Linked DNA regions of Anolis sagrei. The protein of the gene in region 4 purifies or fractionates together with the protein of the main gene of each other region. This does not show direct contact. Links are inferred from orthologs where the notes say so. Each region holds a gene or a part of one and is shown on either strand. Other genes may lie near its edges.

Region 1 (6,824 bases), on a different chromosome or scaffold from region 4:
ATCCTTGTTCAGCAAACTAGGACTTCGTGGGTTTGAGGAGATTTGGTCCTTCTGAATTATTTAGTCCTCTTTATTGCTTCTTAAAGCAATGGTATTCCCCGTAGCAACCTATGGATGTAAGAGCTTGGACCATAAGGAAAGCTGAGCGAAGGAAGATAGACACTTTTGAACTGTGGTGTTGGAGGAAAATTCCGACAGTGCCTTGGACCACAAGAAGATCAAACCAGTCCATACTCCAGGAAATAATGCCTGACTGCTCACTGGAGGGAAGGATATTAGAGGCAAAGATGAAGTACTTTGAGCTCTGCGAGTGCAGCATTTTTCCAAATCAAGCAGAGAGTGTTTGAGGACCGGGGCATCCATAGGTGCTTGTTTATAAAGCTATTGTCCTCCCAACCCTGCTATACACCTGCAAGACGTGGACTATCTACAGACGTCACATGCAACTCCTAGAAGTACTTTGGCGACATCATGAGTAGATGGAATATTTTTGGAAGAGATCATGATGCTGGGGAAAATGGAAGGAAAAATGAAGAGGGGCCGACCAGAGGCAAGATGGATGGATAATAATTTTATTTTTATACCCCGCCTCCATCTCCCCGAAGGGACTCGGGGTGGCTTACAAGCGACATGGCCAGCAAATACAGATTAAAAACGAACACAAAAATACAGTCAATGTCTAAAAACAATGAAATAATATAATCAGATAAACATCATAAACCAATATTGTGGCTGACAACAATAGTGAGTTCAGGCTCAGGATTCCTAAAAGCTATTATTATTAGAAAATGTTGACAATTTCCGCTACCTTGGCAGCCACCTCTCCACAAAAGTCAACATTGACACTGATATACAACACCGCCTGAGCTCTGCGAGTGCAGCATTTTTCCAAATCAAGCAGAGAATGTTTGAGGACTGGGACATCTGTAGGGATACCAAGGTGCTTGTTTATAAAGCTATTGTCCTCCCAACCCTGCTATACACCTGTGAGACGTGGACTGTCTACAGACGTCACATGCAACTAGAACAATTCCATCAGTACTGCCTCCAAAAAATCCAGCAAATCTCTTGGGAAGACAGGAGGACAAATGTCAGCATGCTGAAAGTAGCAAAGACCACCAGCACGGAAGCGATGGTCCTCCACCAACAACTCCGCTGGACTGGCCGCTATCTGATCTCCTTCAGGAGCCCAGGGGGCACCACAGAGAAGACCCTTTCCCTCGTCCCCACCAACCGTGTTTGCTACAGAGGTGGAAGCGAGAGAAGAGCCTCCCCAAATGATCTTGGGGTATGTGCTGGTTCATAGGGGAAGATGCGATCATGAAGATAGGCAGGCCCTGAACCATTTAGAACTTTATAATGGGACCGGAAACTTATTGGCAGCAAATGGAGCTGTTTAAACGGGGGTTGACCACTCCCTGTAACTGTAATGATATCCTTGAAGTGACTGGCTTGACCTTGAAGGAACTGACCAAGGGGGAGCTTTGGTGTGGGCTGGTCCATGAGGTCACGAAGAGTCGGAGGCGACTGAATGAATAAACAACAACAAAGTCCTTCTTAAAATATAACAACTGGGACCAGTAGGATTTAGTTTGGTTGCAACTAACATTCCTCAAAGCTTTCAGTAGATATGACTAACTATGAATAAGTCTGGGTCTGTTCCTTTCCCCTTGGTCTTTATCTCACACTGCATTGGTTCTACAGATGCATTAATTGCCCTTAAACAACCTCCCCCCGCCCATGCGACTAAATATATCAGAGCTTAAATCAGCCTTTGACAATACCTTAAATCAGAGATTTTCAAACTTATCTGGCTTGTTACTCCCTTTTCAGAAAAAAAATAGTGCCCCATTGGAAATCTACCTTCTTTAAATGAACAAAGAGAACAATGTAGTGACAAATTTGCATTATTTTATATATTTGTAACTCCACTTACAATCTACAACATGGTACAGAAAGACAAATAGGAAACCTTGAAATTATAAAATCATGTATTAAAATGACCCACATTAACATTTGTAGTACACACAGAAAATTATGACAACGAAGGATATTAAAATGAAAATTATGAATAATATTTAAAATAATCCTAAATGAGGACGATGAACCTAGTGCTCTAATATTAACTTATTAATGTGTAGATCTATTTTTTTGTCAGCAGCATAGATTAATTTTTTAAAATACTTAGTCCATTTGAACCATTATTAACAGTTTGTCACACAATTCAGAAACAATCTAAATTAGATTTTATACATATCTATAGTATCAAGTTTGACATCAAGCCAGCTTCAATTTAGGATAATCTTATGAGACTTTTAAAGAGCCATGCTCAGAAATAGATCTATATCTACACAGGTAGTCCTTCACACTTGCAGATTTTGTTAATAAGGTCTAGAAATCTCTGTCTTTCAGTGCAAGTGAAAGCTAACTGCAGAGCTCCAAAATCCCTAGATGTTCTCTCAAATAAAAAATAACACTTTTCTATTTATTTATAGCTTTTTTTCACTTTTAGGGTTTTGATCCCCTAACCCTAGCAACTAGATGGCTAACTGTAGTATTGAAAGCTTGAAACAGCAAGAAGCTCAGATACTTATAACTTTCAAGATGTTATCCATCATCAAATCATGGCAGTGAACCAGATATATACAGTATTAGGGCTAATATAACCAATATATGTACCATTTGGAACCACTATATTACACCTAATATAAATAATATGCATAATAGTTGGAGCCACTACACTAGATCTAAAATAAATTGATTATATACATAATAGAGGAAATCACTACATTAGATCTAATAGAAAAATATACATAGTAATTGGAACCACTATACTAGATCTTATAAACAACATGCTTAGTAATAGGAACTACTATATTAAATCTAATATAAACAAGATACATAATAATGGGAACTACTATATTAGATCTATAGTAAATAATATGCATAATAGTGGGAATCACTACAGTAGATCTAATATAAATAATATACATAGTAATAGGAAGTACTATATTAGATGTAATATAAACATACATAGTAATGGGAACTATTATATTAGTTCTAATATAAACAAGATACATAGTAATGGGAACTATTATATTAGATCTAATAGAAATAATATACATAGTAATTGGAACCACTATATTAGATCTCATAATATAAACAACATGCTTAGTAATAGGAACTACTATATTAGATCTAAAATAAATAATATGCATAATAGTAGGAATCACTATATTAGATCTAATATAAATAATATAGTAATAGGAAGTAGTATATTAGATGTAATATAAACATACATAGTAATGGGAACTACTATATTAGATCTAAAATAAATAATATGCACAATATTGGGAATCACTACATTAGATCTAATATAAATAATTACATAGTAATAGGAAATACTATATTAGATGTAATATATACATAGTAATGGCAACTACTATATTCTAATATAAACAAGAAACATAGTAATGGGAACTACTATATTAGATCTAATATAAATATACATAGTAATGGAAGCTACTATATCAGATCTAATATAAACAATATACATAGTAATAAAGAATACTATATTAGGACTACATATAAATGGAGTACAATATCAAAGTATTTCCTGAGTTGCAGTTGCAGCTATGCGCCTTTAGGTGTCAGTGGAGAATCTTCCCCTATTCCCTTTGCTGCGTAGTTAGAGTAAACACTAACTTAGCCTTTTTGCCAGTTTACGGAACTGGCGTAGGTCTTACCTTCAGCGTGTGAAGCCTGTAGCCCAGCTCCGCCTCCTGCGCTACGAAGTTTACGCAGCCGCTGCGTCCCGCCGTTGAGACGCTCAGAGGCACGCCAAGGCGCTCTCGGGGAAGGACGCTGATTGGTTCTTTCCCTCCGTGACGCGGGAGCTTCTCCTACCCCCACAGAGGAGGCGTTTCCTTCGGCTTCGGGCCTTACTCGAGGCCCCGGCTTTGAGGCCTTGTGTGCGGAAGGGTAAGAAAAAACTGGAGGCCATTAGATTTCATTGTATACATGGGATAATATTATTTTGGAGTATTTTGGAGTTCTGGATAAGGGGTACTTGCCAGGGAGGAAGCTAGGGCCTTATTACAGCCATAAAGCCTCAAGGCCTGGGCCAACTTGGGCCCTCCAGGTGTTTTGGACTTCAACTCCCACAATTCCTAACAGCCTGCCGGCTGTTAGGAATTGTGGGAGTTGAAGTCCAAAACACCTGGAGGGCCCAAGTTGGCCCAGGCCTATTTTAAGTGATGCTGTGATTATTCTCCCTTGCCTTTTCCCTTCCTAGCTCTGAAGCAGAACCAAAATGTCGCTCTACGATGACTTGGGAGTGGAGACCAGCGATTCCAAGACAGAAGGCTGGTCCAAAAACTTCAAACTCCTGCAGTCTCAGCTGCAAGTGAAGAAGGCGGCACTCACCCAAGCAAAGGTAAGGATAAAAAGTCTGGTAGAAGCGACACCTGTCACTGATTGCTGAGGTAGCTGCCTTTAACTAAGCACAATGTTAATGTAGCAGTTATTATTATTAATATTTTGTTCAGTCAGTATCAACAAAATTGGGGTGTTGTAGGTTTCTCGGGCTATATGGCCATGTTCTAGAAGCATTTTCTCCTGACATTTCGCCTGCATCTATTTATTTATTTAAAACTGGTTTTGACCTACAAAACGCTTTACGGCTCCGGCCCAGCGTACATGTCCGAACGTATCTCCTTCTACGTTGATATTCAAGCAGTGCTCTTTCTAGGTCAGAACATAGTCCAGGATAACTCCCAGGTATTTTGGTGTGCTGCAGTGCTCCAGTGGGGGTTTCTTCCCAAGCAGTAATAATAATCTTTATTTATATCCCACTTTTATCTCTAACGGGACCCAAAGCAGCTCACAACATAATACAAATCAAATCACATTTAACATAAAATACAAGACAAAAACCACACAAAGCATAATAATGTCCAGAAATAAGACAGAAATAAATACTAAGCATTAAAAACATTTTATACCATTTATTTATTTATTTACGACATTTGTAGCCTGCCTTTCTCAACCATACGGCGACTCAAGGCGGGTTACAGATTACAATTATTGCGGAGACTCATCAATTAAAAGGTATATTTTGCTCAGCTCAGTGCAAATTAACCTTGCTATCATTAACAATTGAATTCATTCATCAAAAACCTGCTTGAACAGGTAGGTCTTCAAATGGTTCTTGAAAGATGACAGGGAGGAGGTAGTTTTAATCTCAAGGGGGAGGGAGTTCCAAAGAGCCAGGGCGGCTACTAAGAAGGCTCTCTCTCGTTGCCACCAACCATATTTGTGAGGGCGGTAATGAGAGAAGGATCTCTCTGGAAGATCTTAATGCTGTGGTTCTCAACCTGGGGTCCCCAGATGTTTTTGACCTTCAACTCCCAGAAATCCTAACAGCTGGTAAACTGGCTGGGATTTCTGGGAGTTGTGGGCCAAAAACATCTGGGTACCCACAGGTTGAGAACCACTGTCTTAATGGTCAGGCAGGTTGGTAAGAGGTGATGCGGTCAGATAGGTAATAATAATAAAATATAAAAACTATTTATATTTCACCCTGTCTTAATAATAATAATAACACTTTATTTGTACCCCGCTCCCATCTCCCCAAGGGACTCGGTGCGGCTTACATGAGACCAAGCCCGCAATACATCAAAAAATAAAACATCAATAAACAATCAATACACATAAACAAAATAGACAATAAGCAATCAACAGTAACATATAAGCATTTAAAACCAAAGGCCGGGCCAAATGTGATAGATTAAAATTAAAAAATAATGCTGATGTGAACAAGGTAGGATATAATTGGGATAGGATTTTCAGAGAGAATGCGGGAACGCAATCAATCCTAAAGCAGTAGTAAAGTGCATTTTGAGGACATAATGCTTCCCAGATGGACTCAGGGCAGATTCGAAACATAAAAGGTAAACATTCAGTGCCCGAACACAACAACAACACACCCATGATAACAAAATTTGGCAACTCAACATATAAAAACAAATTATGCCTTAATAATTAAAATTAAATAAAAACACAACCTATTAGATCGGACATTAGACAAAACATCAAACAGAAGCATCAATTTCCCAGTTCCATGGGGGCAAATAGATTGATCATTGCTCAAGATGTCTATTGAGCTGGTGGTGGGGTAAGTTGGGCCTCAAACATTTAGGGCTTTAAAGGTCAAAACCAGCACCTTGAATCGGGCTCGGAAACTTATTGGCAGCCAGTGTAGGTGCTGTAATGGTGGTGGTATGCTCCCTGGGTCCAGCACCTGTCAACCTGACTGCAGGTCTCTGAACTAGTTGGAGTTTCTGGGAACTTTTCAAGGGCAGCCCCACATAGTCTAAATGGGATGTAACTAAGATGCGGACCACCATAGCCAAGTCCAGTTTCTCAGGATACATTTGCAGCTGTCGCACAAGTTTTAATTGTGCAAAGACCCTCCTGGCCACAGCCAATACCTGGGCCTCCAGGCTTAGCAATGAGTCCAGGAGAGCCCCCAGACTTAAGACCTGTGTTTTCAGGGGGAGTGTGACCCCATCCAGCACAGGTTGCCACCCCATACCCCAATCTGCCTTACAACTGACCAGGCTTGGAGAATTATTAGCTCAAATTCAGTTTTCATCAGTGAAATGGAATGTTTAATGTCTTGTCGAAGGCTTTCATGGCTGGAATCACTGGCTTGTTTTGTGTTTTCTGGGCTCTATGGTCGTGTTCCAGAAGCATTCTCTCCTGACGTTTTGCCTGCATCTATGGCAGGCATCCTCAGAGGTTTGTTCAGAGGTCTGTGGGAA
Region 2 (7,975 bases), on a different chromosome or scaffold from region 4:
CGTAAGGAAGAGGGAGCAAGGAATGAAAGTAGACTATCATTGATTTTACCTTGTGGCGATGCTGATAACAGATAATTCTAAATTATGGAGATTTATATTTTATATGTATTTTAATCTACGCAATTTTGTCTTATATTATGTGTTTTATATTATATGTTTTGATATTTTGTGAATGTTAAAAATAAAGGTGATGGTGATGATTATTATTATTTTTTGCTGCCCTAGAGAATAGGACGCAGAACAATGGCTTCAAATTACAGGAAAGGAGATTCCACCTGAACATTAGGAAGAACTTCCTGACTGTGAGCGCTGTTCAGCAGTGGAACTCTCTGCCTCTGAATGTGGTGGAGGCTCCTTCTTAGGAGACCTTTAAGCAGAGGCTGGATGGCCATCTGTTGGGGTGCTTTGAATGTGATTTTCCTGCTTCTTGGCAGGGGGTTGGACTGGATAGCCCATGAGGTCTCTTCCAGCTCTATGATTGTCAGATTTTATGTAACATTGATAAATGGTTTTAAAGGGTCTGCAGAAGGTTTTGCTTGCAGGAATCAGCTTTCTGAGACTCTCAGAAAGGTGTCATGGCTTGCTAAGGGGATAGAGAAGTGTGTGCCAACTCAAAGTTTCATGTAATAGTATATGGCACATTTGTCATTGGATATATGAAGCACAGACAGCATGTGTATCTGGTTCAAATGAAGCTGATTTTTCCCATGTATGAAACACAGGCCCCATCTCCAATGCTATATAATGCAGTTTGAAACTTTATTATACGGTCAATGTAAAATCATATAATGAAGTTCAATGCAGATAAACTGCATTGCAGGCCTGTGCAGATGGCCCCCAATACTTTCTATCTGATTCCTTAGCTTTCCACTTACAAATGGTCAACATGAAGCAGGAGTGAAAGATCCAGCCTATTTGTGGGACCGCATTTCCCCTATGAACCAACTCGGGCCTGAAAGTCCTGGGGGGGGGGGGGTGGCTTCTCTACACTTGATCTTAGCCAAAAGGCCGAGAAGCGATGGTCCCAACACCCTCACAAGCATGGCTGATGGGAATGAGAAAGGACCTTCTTGGTGGTGGCCCCCCAGGTTTGGAATGCTCACCCGAAAGTAATCAGACAACTAACTTTAGGAAAGAGCGAAAAACTTGAATGCGGAAGCTGGCTTTTGAAAATGGTTGGTTGCTTTTCATTCTGATGGTGGTTTTTTAGCTTTTTAGCCTATTGACTCCATGTTTTGAAACCAAGTACCATTTTTAATCTGTTATTTATTTATTGTGATACTTTAAAAAAATTCTTTTATGATTATTGGTTATATATAAGGTCTTGCAAAGATACAGAATGGGGGACGCCTGGCTTGAGAGCAGTATGGGTGAAAAAGCTATTGGAGTTCTCGTGGACAACAAGTTAAACATGAGCCAACAATGTGACGTGGCGGCAAAAAAAGCCAATGGGATTTTGACCTGCATCAATAGGAGCGTAGTGTCTAGATCTAGGGAAGGAATGCTACCCCTCTATTCCGCCTTGGTTTGACCACACTTGGAATATTGTGTCCAATTCTGGGCACCACAATTGAAGAGCGATATTGACAAGCGGGAATGTGTCCAGAGGAGGGCAACTAAAATGATCAAGGGTCTGGAGAGCAAGCCCTATGAGGAGCAACTTAAGGAGCTCAGCATGTTTAGCCAGAAGAAGAGAAGGCTGAGCGGAGATATGATACCCATGTATAAATATGTGACAGGAAGTCACAGGGAGGAGGGAGCAAACTTGTTTTCTGCTTTCCTGGAGACTAGGACGCAGAACAATGGCTTCAAACTACAAGAAAGGAGATTCCTTCTGAACATGAGGAAGAACTTCCTGACTGTGAGAGCTGTTCAGCAGAGGAACTCTCTGCCCCGGAGTGTGGTGGAGGCTCCTTCTTTGGAAGCTTTTAAACAGAGGCTAGATGGCCATCTGTCAGGGGTGCTTTGAATGCAATATTCCTGCTTTTTGGCAGGGGGTTGGACTGGATAGCCCATGAGGTCTCTTCCAGCTCTTTGATTGTCAGATTTTATGTAAAATTGATAAATGGTTTTAAAGGTGTCATGGCTTGCTAAGGGGATAGAGAAGTGTATGCCAACTCAAAGTTTCATGTAATAGTATATGGCGCATTTTGGCGCTTTTTGGCAGGGGGTTGGACTGGATGGCCCATGAGGTCTCTTCAAACTCTATGCTTGTTGTCTTTTTGGTTTCTACTTATGTATGTATTGTGACTTGATTCTGTTGTGAGCTGCCGCAAGTCCTTGAGGACGGGGGGGGGGGGTATAAATAAAGGTTATTATTATTATTATAAAGGTAGTCGCTTTTTCAGCAGCCCATTTGACGACACTTGATCCTTAGGCCCCATTTGACCATTCAATGCAGTTTCAACAACCCTGGTATGGAAGAAAATGGGTTTCGTTGACCAAATGATTACAAAGTTTGAGACCTGGGTAGTGATTAAGGGCTTCCTTTCGCGTGGTTTTGTGGGAGTTTCGTTGTCTGGCCGCCGCAGTTCAGTGTAGATCAGGCCTCAGCCTGGCTACAACAAAGAGGCCGCGAAGCCTGGCTCCAGGCCTCTCAATGCCTCGTTCTCTAAAAGGGAGGCTAAAAATAACGCGTAAGGGAGGGCCAATGGCGCTGAGCGTTCTCCAAAACCAGATGAGCAACATTCGCCTCCCACCACCCTCTCCCCTCAGTGGATTCACAAAACAACGAAGGCCAAAGAGAGAGGAGGAGGAGGGAGGGAGAGAAGCGGCGCCTCCCCTCCCGTTCTCTTCCCTCGCCCCGGCTCGGGTCTTACCCGTCGGAGGCGAGCCGCTTCTTGTTGGAGCCGTAGTCGTCCCCGAGGTCGAGGCGGTGCCGCTTGGACATGGCGGGAGCTGAGAGCCGAGGAGGCCGCCGCCGAGCCAGAGAGCGAGGAGCTAAAATGGCGGCAGGAAGGAAGCAAGCAAGCCAGCGCCGGCCGCGAGGCGAGCCTTTCCCAGCGTAGAAAGGGAATGCGGTGCAGCGCGTAAGACGTCCGGCCGGAAATTCTGTTCCCTAGCATTTCCGTTCCGCTCTGCAGAATAGTTCCTCCTCCGGTTTATTTTATTTTTTTATATCCCGCTTTGTCTCTCCATACGGAGACTCAAAGCGGCTCACAATCAAAAACATTACAACTTAAAATATGCAAGAATAAGACATTATGTCTTATTGTAAATTGTCAGTGGTAATTATATTTAATATATCAGCATTACTATATCACAATATTTTTTATATATTGTTAGATTGTATTATGGAGCTGTCTTCATAGACTTGTCAGCGGCCTATGATACTGTGAACCACCGCCTCCTCCTGAGAAAAATGTATAACCACCTCACCTGCCTCATAGGAAACCTGCTACAAAACAGGAGCTTTTTGGTTGAGTTCCAGGGCCAGAGAAGCAGATGGCGGAAACAGAAGAACGGCTGCCTCAGGGGAGCGTGCTTGCTCCATCCATGTTCAACATCTACACCAATGACCAGCCACTGCCAGAAGGGACAGAGAGTTTAATCTATGCTGATGATCGTGCCATTACTGCTCAAGCAGGGAGCTTCGAGATGGTTGAACAGAAGCTCTCCGAAGCTCTAGGTGCTCTTACTGCCTATTACAGGGAAAACCAACTGATCCCTAATCCATCTAAAACACAGACATGCGCCTTTCACCTTAAGAACGGACAAGCATCCCGAGCTCTGAGGATCACCTTGGAAGGAATCCCACTGGAGCATTGCAACACACCCAAATACCTGGGAGTCACTTTGGACCGTGCTCTGACCTACAAGAAGCACTGCCTGAACATCAAACAAAAGGTGGGCGCTAGAAACAACATCATATGAAAGCTGACTGGCACAACCTGGGGATCACAACCAGACACAGTGAAGACATCTGCCCTTGCGCTATGCTACTCTGTTGCTGAGTATGCATGCCCAGTGTGGAACACATCTCACCACACTAAAACAGTAGATGTGGCTCTTAATGAAACATGCCGCATTATCACGGGGTGTCTGCGCCCCACACCACTGGAGAAATTACACTGCTTAGCCGGTATTGCACCACCTGACATCCGCCGGGAAGTAGCAGCCAATAGTGAAAGGACCAAGGCAGAGACATCTCCTGCTCATCCCCTGTTTGGGTATCAGCCAGCACGTCAACGACTTAAATCAAGACATAGTTTTCTTAGATCTACAGAGACACTCGCTGGAACACCCCAGCAAGCGAGAGTCCAAAAGTGGCAGGCCCAAACCCAGCACCTCAATTCATGGGTGATACCAGATGAGAGACTCCCCCCTGGGCACTCAGAAGACTGGGCGACTTGGAAGGCGCTGAACAGACTGCGCTCTGGCACCACGAGATGCAGAGCCAACCTTGAGAAATGGGGCTACAAAGTGGAATCAATCAATCAATCAATGATTTATTACGGTCTTTGACCAGCACAGTACAGAATGGGGCATCGGTGCCCAAGGGAGGGAATCGCAGTTCCCAAGTAGATCAAGTATAAAAGCAGATTAAAAGCAGATTAAAAACATGTTATAAAAGAGACAAATTAAAAAGATAAAACAGACTAAACTTACAGTTTAAAGTGCATGTATGAATCTAAAATAGGGGGCGGCTAATAGCAAATATGGGAAGCTATAAAAGGGATGAGAGGGGAGCATTTACAGCATTTCAGTTATTACAAACCATTCTATCTATATTCCCGGCAGGAAGTTGCCTGGTGGAGTCGGTCATCAGCCATCTAATGTTAATTGCTGCTGCACAGAACTTGGCAACACTCTAGGTTGTTGCAGAGCAAGAGTCCGAGAGCAGCAGGGAGGTGTAATATCTTTCAGTGCGCCCTGGATGTTTTAAAAGCCATGGAGTGATGAAATTAGCTCTAATGTCTCTATAGAACACACATTGGAGGAGCACATGTTCAGTTGTTTCGATGTAGCCAGACTCACACGGGCATAGTCTCTCCTGAGCAGGGGTCTTCCGGTACCTCCCCTCCAGTACTGCCGATGGAAGGGCGTGGCATCTTGCCAAAGTGAAAGCTCTTCGGTGTTTAGGCACCTCCAGGTTAGCTAAGTAAGGCATGGGAGCGATGAGATATCTGCTATCTTCGCTAATGGTGAATGCTGGAGAGCAGGCTAAGTCTGATTGTCGCTCTGTATCCAGGATCCGTTGTCTAATAAGATCCTTGGCTTGGTCCCATCCCATACCTAGCAGTTGTCCTTGAGAGAAGCCTAGAGTTGCGATTTTGGTTGCCACTGCCTTATTCCATGTAGACTGAAATTCATCTCTCAGAGTTAATGGGGCAAGGCCACATGTTGAGAAAGACAGATGCAGCCAATAATTGAGGGTGGCTGTCCACACTCTCGCCTCCACTCTCACAAGGCCTGTCTCTAATCGCAGGGTGGCGTTTGAGACACATCTGGGGACCTGCATCGCCGATCTTAGAAATTTTGATTGTACTTGCTCCAGAGGGGCATAGTTTGTGAAGGGACCAAGTTGGGCTCCATACATCATTTGTGCTATGGATTTTGCCTCAAAGAGCTTAAGTGCAGCTGGTATGTAGTGGCCTCCTCCTGTTTTGAGGAACTTTAGGATAGCATATGAGCTCTTTTGTGCTGCCTCTGCTACGTAATCCATATGTACTTTCTTGTTTCCTGTGCGGTGATAGAATACTCCCAGGTATTTAAAGCTGGAGACCTGTTCAATATTGTGTCCATCTAGTCTCCAGGTATGATGCTTGGGTCATTTCGCAAACACCATAATTTTGGGTTTTTTTATAATTAAGATGAAGCTGTTCTTCATTACAATATTTTGTTAAGGCTCTCAGGGCTCTTCTCAGGCCTACTTGAGTTCTGGATAGTATCACTGCATCATCTGCATAAAGCAGGGTAGACACGTGTCTTCCTGCCAGTTTTGGAGGGTGGTAGTCCAAGTTGTAAAGGTGCTCCACCATGGAGTTGATGTAAAAGTTAAATAGAAGTGGAGCCAAAGTACATCCCAAAGTACAAAGTGGAATCCTCGACATGCGAGTGTGGAGAGGAGCATACCACTGACCACCTGCTGCAATGCAACCTGAGCCCTGCTACATGCACAATGGAGGACCTTCTTGCAGCAACACCGGAAGCACTCCAAGTGGCTAGATACTGGTCAAAGGACATTTAACCAACTACCAAACTCACAAGTTTTGTATTTGTCTGTTTGTTTGCTTTGTTCTGTTAGAAATGTAATATAATGGATTGTTTGCTGTGACACAACAAATAAATATTAGTATTATATTGTATCACATTATATATTGTCAATATTGTATGTATATACAATATATATTATTAGCATAGCACAATGTTAGTATTATATATTACTATATTGCACTATACCACAATACTGCAATATTATTACTAATATTACATGTAATATATAATATACAATTATTATTTAGTTAGGTAAATATTTTTTCCCCTGACATTAAGTCCAGTTGTGTCTGACTCTGGGGGTTGGTGCTCATCTCCTTTTCTGAGCCGAAGAGCCGGTGTTGTCTGTAGACGCCTCCAAGGTCATGAGGCCAGCATGACTACATGGAGTGCCATTACCTTCCTGCTGAAACTACTAGGTTGGCAGAAGCTGGGGCTAACAGCAGGAGCTCACCCTGCTTCCCAGATTCAAACCCCTGACCTTTTGGTCAGCAAGTTCAGCAGCTTAGCGTTTTAACCCACTACACCATCAGGACATTATTATATATTATTATATGATAGTATATTATTTTACCAATATATATATAATGCATTACCAGTATAATATACTATTTTATTATATAATGTATTGCACTATATCATAAGATATAGTATACATAATACTGTATATAATATTGCAACATTATTAATATTATATATAATATAATAGTATTATTACATCACAATGCTGTTATTCTATATATTATTATATTATATATATTGAGAGGCTTCCAAGTGATGCTGTGGGAGACTTGGTTTCAATTGGTTCCAACAGCAATCTATCTATCTATACACACACACATAAATATATATTAATTATGTAAAATAATATAATGTTATCTATATACATACACACACATACATATAAATTATTATATTATATTGCATTATTAATATATAGTGATGCAGCAGGTTAAATGGCTAAGCTGCACAACTTGCTGACCAGTTGTTCAAATCCATGGAAAGGGTGAGCTCCCATTGTTAGCCCCAGCTTCTGCCAACCTAGTAGTTCGAAAACATGCAAATGTGAGTAGATCAATAGGTACTGCTTTGGCAGGAAGGTAACAGTGCTCCATGCATTTGGTGCTCCATGTCTTCAGCTTAGAAATGGAGATGAGCACCACCCCCCAGAGTCAGACTGAACTCTTAGAGTCAGGGAAAAACTTTACCTTATCTTATAATGACAGTAGCAGGAGAAGAATGCAAGAAGACTATCTGTAGCCAAAAAGAAAACAAAGTCACATCAGATGACATGCTCAGTTCTTCAACAGTTAAGGACAAGGGAGAAGCAACAGTGAAAGAAATATAGACAGTGTCTTGAACTCCAAAGTTCAGTGGCTTGTTAACAAGGACAAAGAGGACAACTGTATTACAATAACCATTGCAAATAAAAAGACCAAGACAACAAAACAAAACCTGGGAATCTCTGGAACAAGATCCAAGAAATAGAAGAGAAATTTTGGCCAAGATTATTGATACTATATGATCAACAAGGGAACACAAGGTATGATCAAGAACAAAGTGGTGGAAGCATTGCATTGAAGAACTATACTAAAAAGATGTTTTTCTAGCAAGAGCAAAGGATAAGCAGGATCGCATCAGTTCCAAGCATAGGATAAAGTAGATACAATAGTTTGATGGGGCACCAGCACTATTTGGCACAGAAAGTTGAAGACTTTGTAAAACTCCAACTCACCTGATTCCATAATATTTAACCATT
Region 3 (7,652 bases), on a different chromosome or scaffold from region 4:
CACCAGGTAATATTGCCACACATCCCTGAATAGCTATTTGAGGTTCATTTGAAGGCAATGGTCCTTCCTCATATATTGGAGCTTTTTGATGAACAACAGATATTTAATAAGGGCATATGAAAACAACAATGTATGGAACTACACTACAAAGTCCCTTTCAAGTATTCATTCAACACTCTAAAACAGCAATGCACTGATCTGCCCATTTGGGGTAAGTCATCAATCTCTATCTGTAAGAAATCATGCCAGCACAGCTGTTCAGACAATGTTGCTTTATAACATATACACACACATAAGTCTAAAAACTTTACTTAAAAAGATGAATCCCCCCAAAACTGAGTTGACATACATATAAGTCAACATAAACACTGTACCTTAAATGCAATTTAAAAGGGGGGGAGCATCCTTTTCTCTCAGTAGTGGCAAAAGGTAAGAATGTAGTCTGTCCCGGGATAACCTAAAAGAAGTGCCAAACCCTTTCTACTCTCTCTTTGTCTGAAAGAATAAACCTTGCCCAAAGTCATCTAGTTAGGTTCCATCGCCCAGCAGGAATTTGAACCCTGGTCCTAGTCTAACACTCAAACCACTACTACACCATGCTAGTTATTAATTAGTTAATAGTTGAAAATACATAAAGAACTATATTTACACACACACATTTTAATATTTTAATGGGAATTATTGTAGTAACATGAATCTTGTTGTTTCTTTAATTTTATGTTTATACTTTTTATTTATGGGTTAGAACTGTTTTATTGGTATGATTTTATATTTATTGTTAACCACCTTATGTCCTTATATTGGTAGAAAGGTAGGAAAAAATAAAATAAACAGATGAAAAAAATCCTCTTCAAATGAACCTTTGACAAAGAAAGCTATCTTGTCCCATGGCATCTCTATGTCTGAAAATCAGAGAAAAATGTGGATTTTTAATGAAGTGAAAGGTAAGAAGGACAATGCTTGCAAGATGACAATCAGCAAGCTATTTAAGCATCAACCAGACAATTAAGACCAATACCAAGGATATTCTTGTTTATAACAATGGAAGGGAATCTTATGGGCTACCCAGTTCCTCACTAAATTCACTCATGTAGGAATTCTAGAGCTAAAGCATCCTCAAAAATAGCTCTCCAGTTCGGTGAGGACTGCCAGCAAAAAAGAGTCCCTCATCTTACTGATTTTGTTTCACTAATAAGATGATATCATTCAGCATAAGTATTTTTTTATCTACTGTGGTTGCAGGCTACAAGAACTAGAAAAAACATGCTAGGACTGTATGGCTCCTTGCTGCCTGGCACAACTAATAGTATCACCCCAGAAATCTAGGAAATCATTCTCATTATCAAACTGCTCTTATCAGTGAGAAGTTTCCCCAAGAGTCAAGTTTGAAAACTTCCCTCCTGCAACTTATGTGGACTAGATTGTCCTGTCCTGGAGGGACCAGAAAACAAGTATCCATCCTCTCTTTTGTAACAGCTCCATAGCTTCAACAGGACTAGTAAACTATTTAGGCTTAAAACCTAGATCATTATGGCTAAAGTTTTGTTATTGTGTGTCTTCAAGTCATTTTCTGTGACTGTGGGCCTTCCACGCAGCCAAATAAACTAGAATAACAAGGCGGAATACCCTACAATATTTGTTTTGAATTGAGTGATCTGAGTCCACACTGCTATATATCCCAGTTCAAAGCAGCTGTGTGGAAGAGGCCCGTATCACAAAGGTCAGTCGGCTGAAAGTGTGTGCTTGGCTCAGGATAACCCAGTGGGTTTTCATGGATTCGAACCCTGGTCTCCAGAGTCATAGTCCAAGTTTATGTGTGTGCATGTGTATATATACACAGAGAGATACGTATGTAGACACAGCAGGACCTCAGAAAAACCATGTGCAGGATTATAAAAGAACCCAATACTAGTCAGAGAAATCCCAAAGAAACTTTGACTGCATCTAGACCAGTGTTTCCCAAACTTTTGGTCCTCCAGGTTTTTTGGACTTCAACTCTCAGAAATCCCAGCCAGTTTACTGGCTTTTAGGAATTGTGGGAGCTAAAGTCCAAAACACCTGGAGGACTAAAGACTGGCAAACACTGGTCTAAACCGAAGAAGTAATGCAGTCTGACCCCACTTTACCTGCAATGGCTCAATGCTATGGAATCACGGGAGTTGTAGTTTTACAAGGCCTTTGCCCTTCTCTGCCAAAGTGATGCTGCCTCACCAAACTACAACTCCCAGGATTCCTTGGCACTGAACCATAGCAGTTAAAGCAGTCTCAAAATACATTAATTCTACAATGTAGATGAGAATAGGAGAAGCATTGCAAATAGAAGCCCAATATAGAAATCCCTAATTCAAATTTCATGTTTACCACAAATGCACGTGGAGACCTGAGAAAAGCTGCTCTTTTTAACAAAACCCCCTCGGAAATACAGGGCTTAAAACAGAGCAATGCCCATTAAGGGCTATGGAGTGGAAAGAGCAGAAAACCCGACGCAAGTATAAGCCTTTCATTGCCCCAAATCAACAATTCGAGTTGCCTTGATCCCTTTTCGACCAATGTACGGAGCCCTTCATCCATTCAGGCGGGAATTCCAGAGCAAACCTCCCATTTGCTGCAGCAAAGCAGCCGAAGTGCCTGGGAGCTCGGCCTCCATAGAAACGGACACAAAGAACGAGGCAAACCGCGTAACCTTTTCACAAGTCTCTATGGAAATGCACCCCAAGTGCGCCCGCTTTGCCTTCCCATCACTCTTCTTAAACCAGAATAGCCCTGCCTGGCACTCTTTTCTCGGCCGACTTTATGAAGGGGAGACAAGACACAGAGTGGGGCCGAAAGGGGAATGAAAGCGGTTCACTCACTGGAGCATATGAGGGACATGGCGAGCGCCTCCTCGACATGGGCCTTACGGCTGCTTCCGGGCCACTAGAGCGAAGGGGAAGGTTCTGCTTCCGGTCGCCTTTCAACTCGAGCTGCAGCGCGCGCGGGAGAAGGTTGCCCCGGCCGGAAATGGACCCCTCCGACTTTCCTCGTCACGTGCGCTGCCAAAGCCGCAAGGCCTAACGGTCCCACGCGAGTACTTCCGGTTTGGGCTGAGCGTTCCGTCAACTACAGCTCCCAGCATGCACCGCGGACACAGAGCGCCTCTTAGAGGGGAGCCGCACGACCGAATTGTAGCGCTTGACACGGGTTTGACTGAAATTGCTCAATCCCGTAGAATTCTGGGATTTGAAGTTTGTTGTGGCAAAGAAGCTCTCTGGCAGAGAAGAGTGGATTTCTCACAAAAAGACAAAGCCCAGATACCTATAGCTTTTAGCCAAGGCAGTTATTATCATTATCCTGCAGAGAGCCAAATAATACACCAGAGGGAGCAACCTCTTTGAAGTTAAGCAGGGACAGCCCTGGTTAGTGCTTGGATGGGAGACCGCCGAGGAATACCAGGCACCGTAGGTTATATCTCAGAGGAAAGAACTGGCCAAACCAAGAAGAAACCTGCGAAATCTATGAGGTGGTTTGAAGGCGCGTACATGCATGGATTTAAACATTAGGCCTATGTCTTCAGTTGCCTCTTGAATCTTCCTTCCCCCTTTTTACAGAGGCATTAAGGAAACAAAGGAAGAAGGGTAGAATTTTAGTTGAAATTGTGTTTGGATAATAAGGATCCCATCCAGATGTAGAAGGTAGAAAGAGCTTGTTTGCCCTAACTCGAGGTCTAAAATTACAGCTTCTCAGCATTCTAGACTACAAAACATGAAATTTCTACATGCAGCTGCACTCTATAATTCACAGTTGTGATCTGAGGAGTCCATACTTCAGGAAATAAAGCCCAACTGCTCATTGGAGGGAAGGATAGTAGAGGCAAAGATGAAGTACTTTGGCCACATCATGAGAAGAAAGGAAAGCATACAGAAGACGATGCTGGGGAAAATGGAAAGAAAAAGGAAGAGGGGCTGACCAAGGGCAAGATGGATGGATGGGATCCTTGAAGTGACTGGATTGACCTTGAAGGAGCTGAGGGTGGTGACGGCCGACAGGGAGCTCTGGCGTGGGCTGTTCCATGAGGTCACGAAGAGTCAGAAACGACAACGAATGAACAACAACAATCAGGAGAGGTCTGCATGGGGAATTGGCTGCTGTCAAGTTGAGTTCGACTTATGGTGGCCCTATGTATATGGCATTACTAGAGCTTAAAGAGTAGGCAAAGCATCTGAAATCTTGTGCTGCCTCCTGCAGAATTCCAGGCGTTATTTATTTATTTGTCCCATTTATACACCTTCTCAACCCCATAGGGGACTCAAGGAGGCTTACATACACAGGGAGTTGTAGTTCAGTGAGACCCAGGACCTCTCTGGCTGAGCATTTAAAGGCCCCCTCCCCTAAACTACAAGCCCAGCAACCAACTAATGTCACCCTTCTTAAATGAACTGGGGGTCCCAAGTACACTTACCATTTAATGCAGTGTCAAACTGGTATTGAAGAAAATGCTTGCAATAATCAGAAATGAAGTCCCCACCCCCAAGTGCACTGTAATTTGAATAAATCTGCAATGATAAACCAAAGGTCAAGTCTCAAAAATATGTCAGACAATTCAGGAAGCAAAATTGGATCATTGAATGGATTGAGATTAATATGGGAATTAGATTTAGGGTTTAAATAGAGGAGAAAATGGAACTCAGTTTGGAAAATCCAATCTTATATATCAATTTCAGCACAACTGAAAGAAAATACTCTGAAAATTATGCATAGATGGTACCATTATCCACTCAAACTACATAAAATCAATAGAATCTTTACTTGGAGAGTAATATGGGATCAGAGAATAATATTGGATCCCATACTGGAGAGTAATATGGGATCCCATACTGGAGAGTAATATGGGATTGGAGCCACATGTGGCTAATGTGCATAAAGTATGGAGATTCTGGGAGGAAGTGCTATCATGCATAAGCCAAGTAGTGGGGAAACTTCACTTCAGGGGAGCTCTATAAATGATTTCTGGGTATTGTTTCATTATGCACGCGGGGGCCAGCAGGGGGCACTAGAGAGAGAAGGATAGTCCATTTGGGGGGAGGAGTGGGGAAAGAGAGAGGGGGAATAACCAGCAAAATGGGGGAAGTGGTTTTCCTCCTTCAACTCCCCCCTCCCCATAAAATAGACTATCCTTCTCTCTCTACTGCCCCCTGGTGGCCTTTGTCTGGATAATGGAACAGTACCGATTTGGGTATTCAAAAGTGAGAATAAGGTTCTGTGGTAAATAATAAAAAAATACTACTCCTGTTATGTGTCACAAGACTCAAAATTGTGAAAACCTGGAAAAAAGTTAGAGGATCTGACAATAAAGAGCTGGTTAAACGGGATGTGGGTGATAACTCTATAAGAAAAGTTAATTTATAAATTAAGATATATAAATTAAGATTAGCAAAAAAGTGAATTGAAAGAAAATCTATTTGATAAAACCTGGAAACCATTTATTAGTTTCATGTGTAAAAGCAATGGCGAATTTAAACCACCAAACGTCCAAGAAGGATTGTGGATGAGTAATTTATGAATACATTACAATAAAAAAGCAAAAAGATTTTTAAAAGAAGAAAAAACAAACAAACTGGTTTTGCTGTGCAGACGATTACATAGGAAGTCCTGTAACCAATTTTGAGCCCGGATGGTGATGACACAAACCACAGAGCACTTATACATAGAGACAATCTCTTAAGATTATATGGATCAGAGTTTCCTCAAAATTCATCAAATGCACAACGTAGTGGAGGGAAAGGATTAGAGCAGATTTTTTTAAAAAAAAATAAATTAAATAAATCTGACTCTATAAGAAATGATTAAAGGTGGACTGCTGGGTGTAAGGTGACTGGGATTTAGTTTGTAATGTATTTTAATGTTTTTATATTTGATGACACAAAGGGTTTAATCGTGTTTTTATATACTTATATTTTAATTCATTTACATTTATTTAACTTGCATTGTACCCTATTTATCATTATATATCAGGAGAAAGGCAGGATAAAAAACAAAATAAGTAAATAAAACAAATGCACAGTGTTTACATTTTTATATTTGCTTTCCACTCCCTTCTTGCAATTTCTTTCTTGCAAATTTTTTCTTGCAAAGTGTTGGTTGCTGTGAATTTTCTGAGCTGTATGACCATGTTCCAGAAGCATGGTCTGACATTTCGCTCATATCTATGGCAGGCATCAGAGGTTGCGAGGTCTGTTGGAAACTAGGCAAGTGGGATTTATAGATCTATGGAATGTACAGGGTAGGAGAAAAAACTCTTGTCTGTTTGAGGCAAGTGTGAATGTTGCAACTGGCCAGTTTCATTAGCATTGAATAGCCTTCCAGCTTCAAAGCCTGGCTGCTTCCTGCCTGGAGGAATCCACTCAGGCATGGGCAAACTTCAACCCTCCAGGTGTTTTGGACTTCAACTCCCACAGCTGGTTCAACTCCCCCCCCCCCCCCCGGCTGTTAGGGATTGTAGGAATTGAAGTCCAAAACACCTGGAGGGCAGAAGTTTGCCCTTGCCTGTGTTAGCTGCCACAGATGTGGGCAAAACACTAAAAAAACCAGGGGATATTATTTATTTATTATTTGTGATATTTGTATACCGCCCTTCACAATCCCGAAGGGGATTCAGGGCGGTTGTGTGTTGGCAACAATTCAATGCCATCGATAAAAACAGTATAAAACATTAAAACTGGCCCTCCTCTAATAAAAAAATAAACATTATTAAACACAATACATAAAACAGCATTACCTATCACACAGAGACATAGCTGGAAATCCAGACAGGAAACAATTGGGGCCAGCTAACATCTCCCAACAAAGGATTCCCCCAGGCAGGAAATAGCTAGGCTTTGAAGCTGCAAGACTATTGCAACATTCACACTTGTCTCAAGCGGACAAGAGTTCTTTCTCCCACCCTGGACATTCCACAGATATATAAACTCCACTTGCCTAGTTTCCAACAGACCTCACAACCTCTGAGGATGCTTGCCATAGATGTGGGTGAAATGTCAGGTGAGAATGCTTCTGGAACATGGCCATACAGCCCGGAAAACCCACGGCAACTCAGTGATTATGGCCATGAAAGCCTTTGACAACACAAAAAAGCAAAACTTGGGGAATTGAGAGGAAGAACTGAGACTGCATCTAGTGCAATCAAACCCTACTTTGTCCTCCGGATCCCCTGTCCTGATACATTACATTGATCTCTCACCCAGAGTTTTAAAATTTTTTTATCTTTTGCAATTGGCCCTGCCCACTGTGATCAATTTTCTATGTTCGAATGTTCTGATTTTATATTGTCTGATGTGTTTATTTATATTGGTTCTTGTACTTCATTTTTTCTTTTTCTTTATTTTTTGCTGTGTTACTGTGTTATATTGTTTCACTGTATTGCTGGGCTTGGCCTCATGTAAGCCGCCCTGAGTCCCCTTGGGGAGATGGTGGCGTGGTATAAAGATTTATTGTAATTATTATTATTATTATTATTATTATTATTATTATTACACTAGCCATCCCCTGCCATGCATTGCTGAGGCCCAGTCTGTGTATATGTGGTTTTGTGTGTGCATTATATTTTTATTTTTTTGGCATTTTAAGTCTCTTCCACTGTGTTTCCAGTGTCTTTATGAGTGTTGGTCACTCGTTGG
Region 4 (7,855 bases):
TCACCCAAATGCAGAGCAAGTAACCCCCTTTTCCCCACCCATTATTATGATTATTATTATTCACTTAATTTTTCTCCCAATATATCTATTTTTCTATTAATGTTTTCACTTGGTTTTCAAAAATATACACAACATTTGAGACCACTCCCTTCATACCACTTCTCCTGTAAGCACAACATTGAAAATAAAAAATTACATAAATGACTATAAAAACACGTACTTAAACTCTATATATACTAGAAATGTGTCATTTATTGTTATTGTATTTAAATAACATTTATTAACTTATTATTTAGGAAATTTCCAGATTGTCTTTCTCCAACGGACTCAAGGCGGTTTGCAATAGCATCAAAACATACAATATAAAATATTTTCTATTTATTTGTATAAAACTTTGGAACTCCCTCCCCACTGAGATTAAAACTGCCCCTTCATACCTACATACTTGTCACTTATAGGTCATATATTTAAATATGGTGCATTTAAATAGAATATTTTAATATCATATATATATAATTTCATATAGCCAGACATAGCCACAACTGTCCTCTTTATTGATTCCTATGAAACAGAAGACTAACACTCACCTGGCCACAAAGCTGGCTGTCTTGTCCACAATGTTCCTGACCTCTGGCGGAGGGTAGATGATGCCCACCACCGGCTTGGCGGGCACTGCCTCCTCTTTTGGCTCATCTTCTGGCTGCAATGAGAATTAACATAACAAAATGGTGGGACAGAACTGAATCATCATAATCATCAACAACATAATAACTTCTAGCCATCCATGAAATTCATGGCAGGGGGTGGGTGAGTGGGCACATGCATTTTCCTCAATCCCAGGCCAAGACTCTTTTTAAGGATTTGTCTCTAAGCCTGTGTATCTTCTTCTGTTATTCTAAACACATTTAACTGCGGGTGAAGCAGCCTCCAGTTCCAGCAATGTGAAGAATTAATAACAGCAAGATTAATCACAATGATAACAAACAGCCAAGGACATGGCCCTCCAGTGGACAAGAACCTGCATTTCCTGAACTAGATAATAATAATGACAATAATAAGTTATATCAATACCATCCACATTGTGAACATCAACAATGCTATAACAGGCAGCCGCCAAGTTACACACAAAACAGTTCCGTATGTTTGTTCTGAAGCTGAATTTGTTTGTAAGTCAGAACACACACATTTTTAACTCCAGCCAAAAATATATACAGTGGAATCTCTACTTAAGAGTGCCCCAACTTAGGAGTATTTAGGAGCATTTAGAATTAAGAATTGTTGCTCGGCCCTGGTTTTGCTTTGACACACAAGCAATGTTTCCAGTTAAGAACAAGTGCCAGGGCTTCAAGAGAGCAGCCTTCATGCCTTGTGCTCATGTCCACTTTGAGGAATTTGTGGTTAGTTGGTTTTGTGTGGTTTTTATTCCTGGTTTGTTTGGCTTCATGGAGAGAGGGAGGGGGGCTGGAATGAGGGAAGTAGGAAGAAGAAAAGGAGGCTTCTGGCTCTTCGCTTGGTGCTTCCTTGCCACATCTTTGTACTTCTGCCATTTAAACGCTGATCTTTCTTTCTGATTGTTCCATGTGAATGTTTTGCCTTGCTGTTACACTGGTTGACACACGTTGTTGCTGCCAGTGTACTTCTGGAGAAGTTACTGTAATGCGCTCTACGTGGAGCTGCCCTTGAAAATGGCTCGGAAATTCCAACTGGTTCAACGGGCGGCGGCCAGGATGTTAACTGGCGCTCCTTACAGAGAGAGATCAACCCTCCTGTTTAAGGAGCTCTATTGGGCTGCCGTTTACCTAGCAAACCCAATTCAAGGTGCAGGTGCTTACCTACAAAGCCCTAAACGGTTTGGGACCTGCCTACCTGCGTGACCGCATCTCCGTGTATGAACCCACGTGATCCCTTTGTTCATCCGGAGAGGCCCTGCTTACGATCCCACCTGTGTCACAGGCGTGTTTGCTGGAGACGAGGGACAGGGCCTTCTCTGTGGTTGCCCCCAACTCTGGAACACCCTCCCCAAAGATATTAGACTAGCACCCATGTTGGCAGTCTTCAGGAAGAATCTGAAGACCTGGCTATTCCGATGTGCCTTTCTGGAATAGGATAATCTCCAGCACTATGTCCCAGAAGCACTTTATTCGAGTTTAAGGCTCTCTGTGCATTGCACTTGCCCGGAAATCCAACATACCACCTGCCACACCCAGCACTTTTTAACCTGTACCCATCACTGGCCTGGCCCTGGTTTTTTATTCTGTAATTGATGTATTGTCTTGTTATTGCTTATGTTTTAATTTACTCTAAATGGTATTGTTATTGTTTTGTTCTTGTTGTGTTGAGGCCTTGGCCTTTGTAAGCCGCATCGAGTCCTGCGGGAGATGCTAGCGGGGTACAAATAAAGTTTAATAATAACTTAATAATAATAATTTTGGGGGATTTGACCTGGATATTTTGGAGTTGTAGTTCACCTTTATCCAGAGAGCACTGCACCCAGCCGAGTACGGATCTGGACCAGGCTCGGCATACAGATCCAACGTGGCCAACTTTGTACACTGGTGGACTCTGGAGTGATTAACCTTGAAATCTGGGAGTTGTAGTTCACCCATATTCAGAGATCTCTTTGAACCCCACCGAACATCCAAAGACAAACAATGCCCCTTTCAAGCTAGTATAATATATAATACAGGTGTGTATATGATCCCACGGGGGCCCTCAAGTCCCTCGCGCAAAGCGCCCTGGGAAAAGCCCCCCTCGCCCCGCAATGCATCATGGGAATGGCGGCTCTGCCTTGAGGTGGGTTAAAGGGGGAAAAGAGTCGTTTTCTTCCCGAGCAAGAAATACCTGTTTGGCCTCGGGCGGCGTGGCTTGGGCCGGAGCCATCACCTGGACGGGCCCCGCCGGCATGACTCTCACTTCGCTCCGGAGTACAACCGCGGAGAAGAAAGACGCCAACAGCTGCGATAGGACCGAGAAAAATGGCGACGGGTGCGCGCGCAGCCAGTAACAGCCCCGCCCACAAGAGGAGGGGGCTGTGCGGGGATAGCCACGCCCCTTTAAACGTCCTCCTCCTGGAAACCCGTAGTCACGCCCCCTTTAAGCGCATGCGCTCCCCTTCCCCTTGCAATCCCAGCTGCACGGGGAAGTCACGCCCCTTTCAACGCCCCCTCCTCCTGGTAACCATAGCCACGCCCCCTTTAGGTACATGCACTCCCCTTTCCGGAAGTTTTTATCAATTGTATGTTATGCTCTCTATAATAAAAGGGGCGGAGCGAGGGAAGCGTTCTTCGTTGCCATGGCAGCAGCCGAGGCCTAGAACGCGAGAAGAAGCCTGCTAGCAGTAAGAGGCGGGCATTCCGTAGGTAACTACACACAGTTAACGGCGTGCCGTTTTCTAAATGAGCCATTCAGCCAATTAAGGATGAAACATGAATACGAAGCATTTCTTGAATATATTATTTCTATACATAGTCCTAGAGTTGTGTTTTCCCAATCTTGGGCTCCAGGCTTTTTGGACTTCTTCCCTCAGAAGGCCTCTTCATTGGACAAAGCAGCTGGGTCTGAGTCCAGAATACCCACTGTTATTATTCTATTGGACAAAACAGGAATGTTAACATGATGATGATGATTAATTATATCTCTATTATATATTTTATAATGTAATGTGTTATTATATATTTTATTGATTTATATCCCTCTATATCTCTCCATATGGAGATTCAAAAACATAAAACTTAAAATATACAAAAATACAATAAATCAGTGTATCTTATAATTATATATTATCAGTAGCAATTATAGTTAATATATTAGTATTACTATATTACAATATTCCTATTATATATTATAGTATTGTATTATTGTGTTGTTTGAAGGCTTTTGTGGCTGGAATCACTGGGTTGCTGTAAGTTTTCCGAGCTGTCTGGCCATGTGCCAGAAGCATTCTCTCCTGACATTTTGCCCACATCTATGGCAGGCATGCTCAGAGGTTGTCAGGGTTTATATATATACCTGTGGAATTATGTCCGGGGTGAGAGAAATAACTCTTGTCTGTCAGCACGTGTGAATGTCGCCATTGGCCAGCTTGATTAGCATTGAATGGCTTTGCAGCTTCAAAGCCTGGCTGTTTCCTGCCTGAGGGAATTCTTTGTTGGGAGGTGTTAGCTGGCCCCGATGAAGAAACACAATCTACAAACAATCTACAGACCCACTAAGAAAATCCAACAAATGCTAGGTTCAGCAAAGAACAAGAAGGATCCTCTCACCTCTGCCAGAGTCTACCGTATACCAATCAGCTGTGGACAAGTCTACATAGGGGTCACCAAATACAGCATTGCCCAGACACGAATCAAGGAAGATGAAAGGTACTGCAAACTAATCCAACTAGAGAAGTCAGCCATAGCAGAGCACCTGATGAACCAATCTGGACACAGCATATTATTTGAGAACACAGCAATGCTGGGCCACTCAGACAACCACCATGACAGATTACATAGAGAAGCCATTGAAATCTGCAAGCACGTGGACAATTTCAAAAGAAAGGAGGAAACTATGAAAATGAACAAAATCTGGCTACCAGTATTAAAAAAACTCTAAAATCATAACAACAAATAAAGAACAACCGTCAGAAAATTAGGGAATTCCAAACAGGAATCAATCAGGGCCAGCTAACACCTCCCAAAAAAGGATTCCCCAAGCAGGAAGCAGCCAGGCTTTGAAGCTCCAAGGCTATTCAATGCTAATCAAGCTGGCCAATGGCAACATTTACACTTACCTCAAACAGACAAAAGTTCTTTCTCCCACCCTGGACATTATTCCACAGGTATATCTATAAACCCCACTTGCCTAGTTTCCAACAGACCTCACAACCTCTAATTATACCTGCCATTGATGTGGGTGTAAAACGTCAGGAGATAATGCTTCTGGAACATGGCCAGACAGCCCAGAAAGCTCACAGCAACCCAGTGATTCCGACCATTAAACTCTTCGACAACATGATGACTAGCTGCTTTGGGACTCAATTGAGAGAGAAGATTGGTGTATAAGATTGGTTACTTCTTGCAGCAACACCACAGGCACTCCAGGTGGCCAGATACTGGTCAAAGGACATTTAATCAGCTGCCAAGTTTGCAAAATTTGTGGGGTTTTTTTTTATCTGTTTGTTTGTTTTGTTCTGTTAGGAATGTAATACAATGTTCTGGTAGCGGATGACATGATAAAATATAAATATAAATATAAATATAATTATTATTATTGTGTTTGCTTTGAGTCAATCCAAAGATTAGAAGAGAGAAATTAAGGTATTAGTTAATAACAACAACAACAATAATGGTGGTCACTTTAGTGCCTTGATCAAAAGAGAAATATAGGATAATAATAATAATAATAATAATAATAATTCATTTTGAAGCTTTTCTTTTGCTCCAGGAACATCAATGCCTCATTGTTTGTGATGGTGGCCTTCCTGGTCAATTGAAAGAACATGGAGAGCCTGCAGAGGGACATCGTTGAGCTTCAGGGAACAGTCATTGATGTCTTCTCCCGATCCAGACCCATCCGGTGTCCTTCGTGGAAGTTTCCGGATAAGGCCTCCTGCGACTTGGACCTGGTTTCCTTGCTGGAGCGTTACGGCTTTGCGGAGAACAATCCTGAACTCACCCAGCGCTCCCATGTCCTCCTTTTGGAGCTCATCATTGACAGGTGAGGAACAGTCCGAAGGATAGAACTCACCTGGAAGCCAAGGAGGATAACTAGGATTTGTTTTCTGCTCCCTTGAGGCTGCTGCTGCTCTTCCAAAGCTTCACGGAATATGCGGAGAACCTGATCAGCGAAGGAGCTCCTTCCTCCCCATCCGGAGCAATGGGGCCTTCCATGTCTGTTGGATTGGCGGTGAGGACATACTGGGACAGCATGGTGAAACTGGGGAATCTCTACCAGCAGCTGGTGATGGAGGTAGGGACATGCTTTGCATACAGACCTCAGAAGCCAATTATACCTCTTCTCCCTCTTCATCTTTTCCTTCTCTTCCTCCCTTTCCTTTTCTCTCTCCCTTTCCTCCTCCTGCTTTTCCCCCTCCATCTCCTCTTCCCTCTCCTTCTTCACTTCCTTTTCTGTCTACTCCTCTTCTCCACCTAGTCCTCCTTCTACTCCTTTTCCTTCTTCTTTTTCCTCTATCTCCTCTTCCCTCTCTTCCTTTTCCATCTACTCCTTCTCCACCTTGTCCTCCTTCTCCTTCTTCTTCTTTTTCCTCCTCCTCTTCCCTCTCCTCCTTCTCTTCCTTTTTTGTCTCCTTCTCCTTTTCTTTCTACTCCTCCTCCTCCACCACCTTGTCCTCCTTCTCCTTCTTCTTCTTTTTCCTCCTCCTCTTCCCTCTCCTCCTTCTCTTCCTTTTTTGTCTCCTTCTCCTGTTCTTTCTACTCCTCCTCCTCCACCATCTTGTCCTCCTTCTACTTACTTTCGTTCTTTTCCCTTCTCCTTTCCCTTCGTTTGCTTCTCCTTTTCTTCTTGTCCTCCTCCTCTCTTCAATCTCCTCCTCCTCCTTCTTTTATTTCTCTCCCCCCTCCTCTCCTTCTCTTCCTCCTACTTATTTATATCTTGCTTTTATCTCTTAACCAAGAAAAAAGGCAACAAAGAGGATGTTTCTAGCAGAGAACAAGCAGAGAGCAAACGGACCAGAAGCTCTTGCTCCCAACAATCGGAGTCAGATGTTACCATACTGGGCATGCAGGATTCTTCATTGACCTCGTCAATTGCCAGTGGGCAAATGTATGGACACTTCCCCAACTGTATCCCTTCTCTAACTACTGAGCCGCCCGTAGTGCCTTGTGAAGCCTGCGAGAAGGCCCAGACCAGCCTCCAGGAAGTGGGCCGTGCCATTGTCGGCCTCTGCGAAGGCCAAAACCTCCCATCATCTCTGGGCAAGTTCCTCAAGACCGCAGAGGAGACCCTTGGGGGCAGAGCCCTGTCCGTTGTGGACATTGACTATTGGGCCGCCGAGCAGAGCAAGGACATTTCCCGGATTGGCAAGCACCTCCGGACACTGACAGAGTTGGTGGGCCCTTTGAAGGGAGAGCTGGAAGCTGCCCAGAAGCAGGTGGAGGACTTGGAGGTCCGCCTTCAGGAGGAGAAGGAAGCCCAAGAGCAACAGAGGAAGGAGGCTGAGCAGTCATTCGAGAAGAAGCACAAGGAGAGCTTACGACGAGTGGGACGGTTGGAGAAGGAAAAGGAAGATCTCCAGAACAGTGAGTAGACACCAAGGATTGTGTGATCACCATCCTTGGGTCCTATCTCCAAGAGAATAATGATAATAAACTTTATTTCTATACTGCCCTATCTCCCTGAGGGGACTCAGGGCTGTTTACAACAGAAAATTGGCAAACTTTCAATACTGATGTAACAGATCAAATCATAAGCAATAAAATAAACAACATCAGGTGTACTTATAGAACAACTCAAAATAACAAACTTAGAAAGATATATCCCATATCTCCTGCTCTTCATCTTAGGTCTCATCTCCAAGATATATCCCATATGTATATTGTTTTTAAATGCTTATTTGTTTTACTGATTGCTTATTTTGTTTTATATCTGTGTCTTTGATCATTGTTGATTTTGTGTTGTATTTTTAACATGTTGGAAGCCGTTTTGGGTCCCTTTGTGGGAGAAAAGCAGGATATTAATCAAGATTTATTGTTGTTGTTGTTGTTATTATATCTCCTGCTGTTCATCTTGGGTCCTATCTCCAAGCTATATCCCTAATCTCTTGCCCTCCATCCTTAGGTCCCATCTCCAAGATTTATCCCATATCTCCTGCTCTCAGGTCCCATCTCCAATATATTCCAGGGCTTCCAACTTCTCA

Evidence for each region.
Region 1: the proteins of SF3A1 (region 4) and RBM17 purify together in Homo sapiens (affinity purification with mass spectrometry; 4 studies listed by BioGRID and IntAct, counting the BioPlex papers as one, with this or other methods). This does not show direct contact. The link is inferred for Anolis sagrei from reciprocal best matches to the Homo sapiens genes SF3A1 and RBM17.
Region 2: the proteins of SF3A1 (region 4) and DHX15 purify together in Homo sapiens (co-immunoprecipitation; 5 studies listed by BioGRID and IntAct, with this or other methods). This does not show direct contact. The link is inferred for Anolis sagrei from reciprocal best matches to the Homo sapiens genes SF3A1 and DHX15.
Region 3: the proteins of SF3A1 (region 4) and PRPF19 fractionate together in Homo sapiens (co-fractionation; 3 studies listed by BioGRID and IntAct, with this or other methods). This does not show direct contact. The link is inferred for Anolis sagrei from reciprocal best matches to the Homo sapiens genes SF3A1 and PRPF19.

Annotation. Positions count from the first base shown.
Region 1 is NC_090025.1:190,047,394-190,054,217, reverse strand, and holds the start of RBM17 (splicing factor 45), read left to right. Parts: upstream 1-3,816; 5' UTR 3,817-3,981; intron 3,982-4,294; 5' UTR 4,295-4,312; coding exon 4,313-4,435; intron 4,436-6,824. UniProt on the Homo sapiens protein: Splice factor that binds to the single-stranded 3'AG at the exon/intron border and promotes its utilization in the second catalytic step. Involved in the regulation of alternative splicing and the utilization of cryptic splice sites.
Region 2 is NC_090025.1:112,388,419-112,396,393, forward strand, and holds the start of DHX15 (ATP-dependent RNA helicase DHX15), read right to left. Parts: upstream 3,001-7,975; 5' UTR 2,891-3,000; coding exon 2,820-2,890; intron 1-2,819.
Region 3 is NC_090021.1:235,751,248-235,758,899, forward strand, and holds the start of PRPF19 (pre-mRNA-processing factor 19), read right to left. Parts: upstream 3,020-7,652; 5' UTR 2,872-3,019; coding exon 2,853-2,871; intron 1-2,852. UniProt on the Homo sapiens protein: Ubiquitin-protein ligase which is a core component of several complexes mainly involved pre-mRNA splicing and DNA repair. Required for pre-mRNA splicing as component of the spliceosome.
Region 4 is NC_090034.1:48,544,694-48,552,548, reverse strand, and holds the start of SF3A1 (splicing factor 3A subunit 1), read right to left. Parts: upstream 3,005-7,855; 5' UTR 2,905-3,004; coding exon 2,842-2,904; intron 701-2,841; coding exon 588-700; intron 1-587. Other genes in the region: CCDC157 (coiled-coil domain-containing protein 157), read left to right, coding at 5,480-5,697, 5,775-5,949, 6,614-7,238. UniProt on the Homo sapiens protein: Component of the 17S U2 SnRNP complex of the spliceosome, a large ribonucleoprotein complex that removes introns from transcribed pre-mRNAs.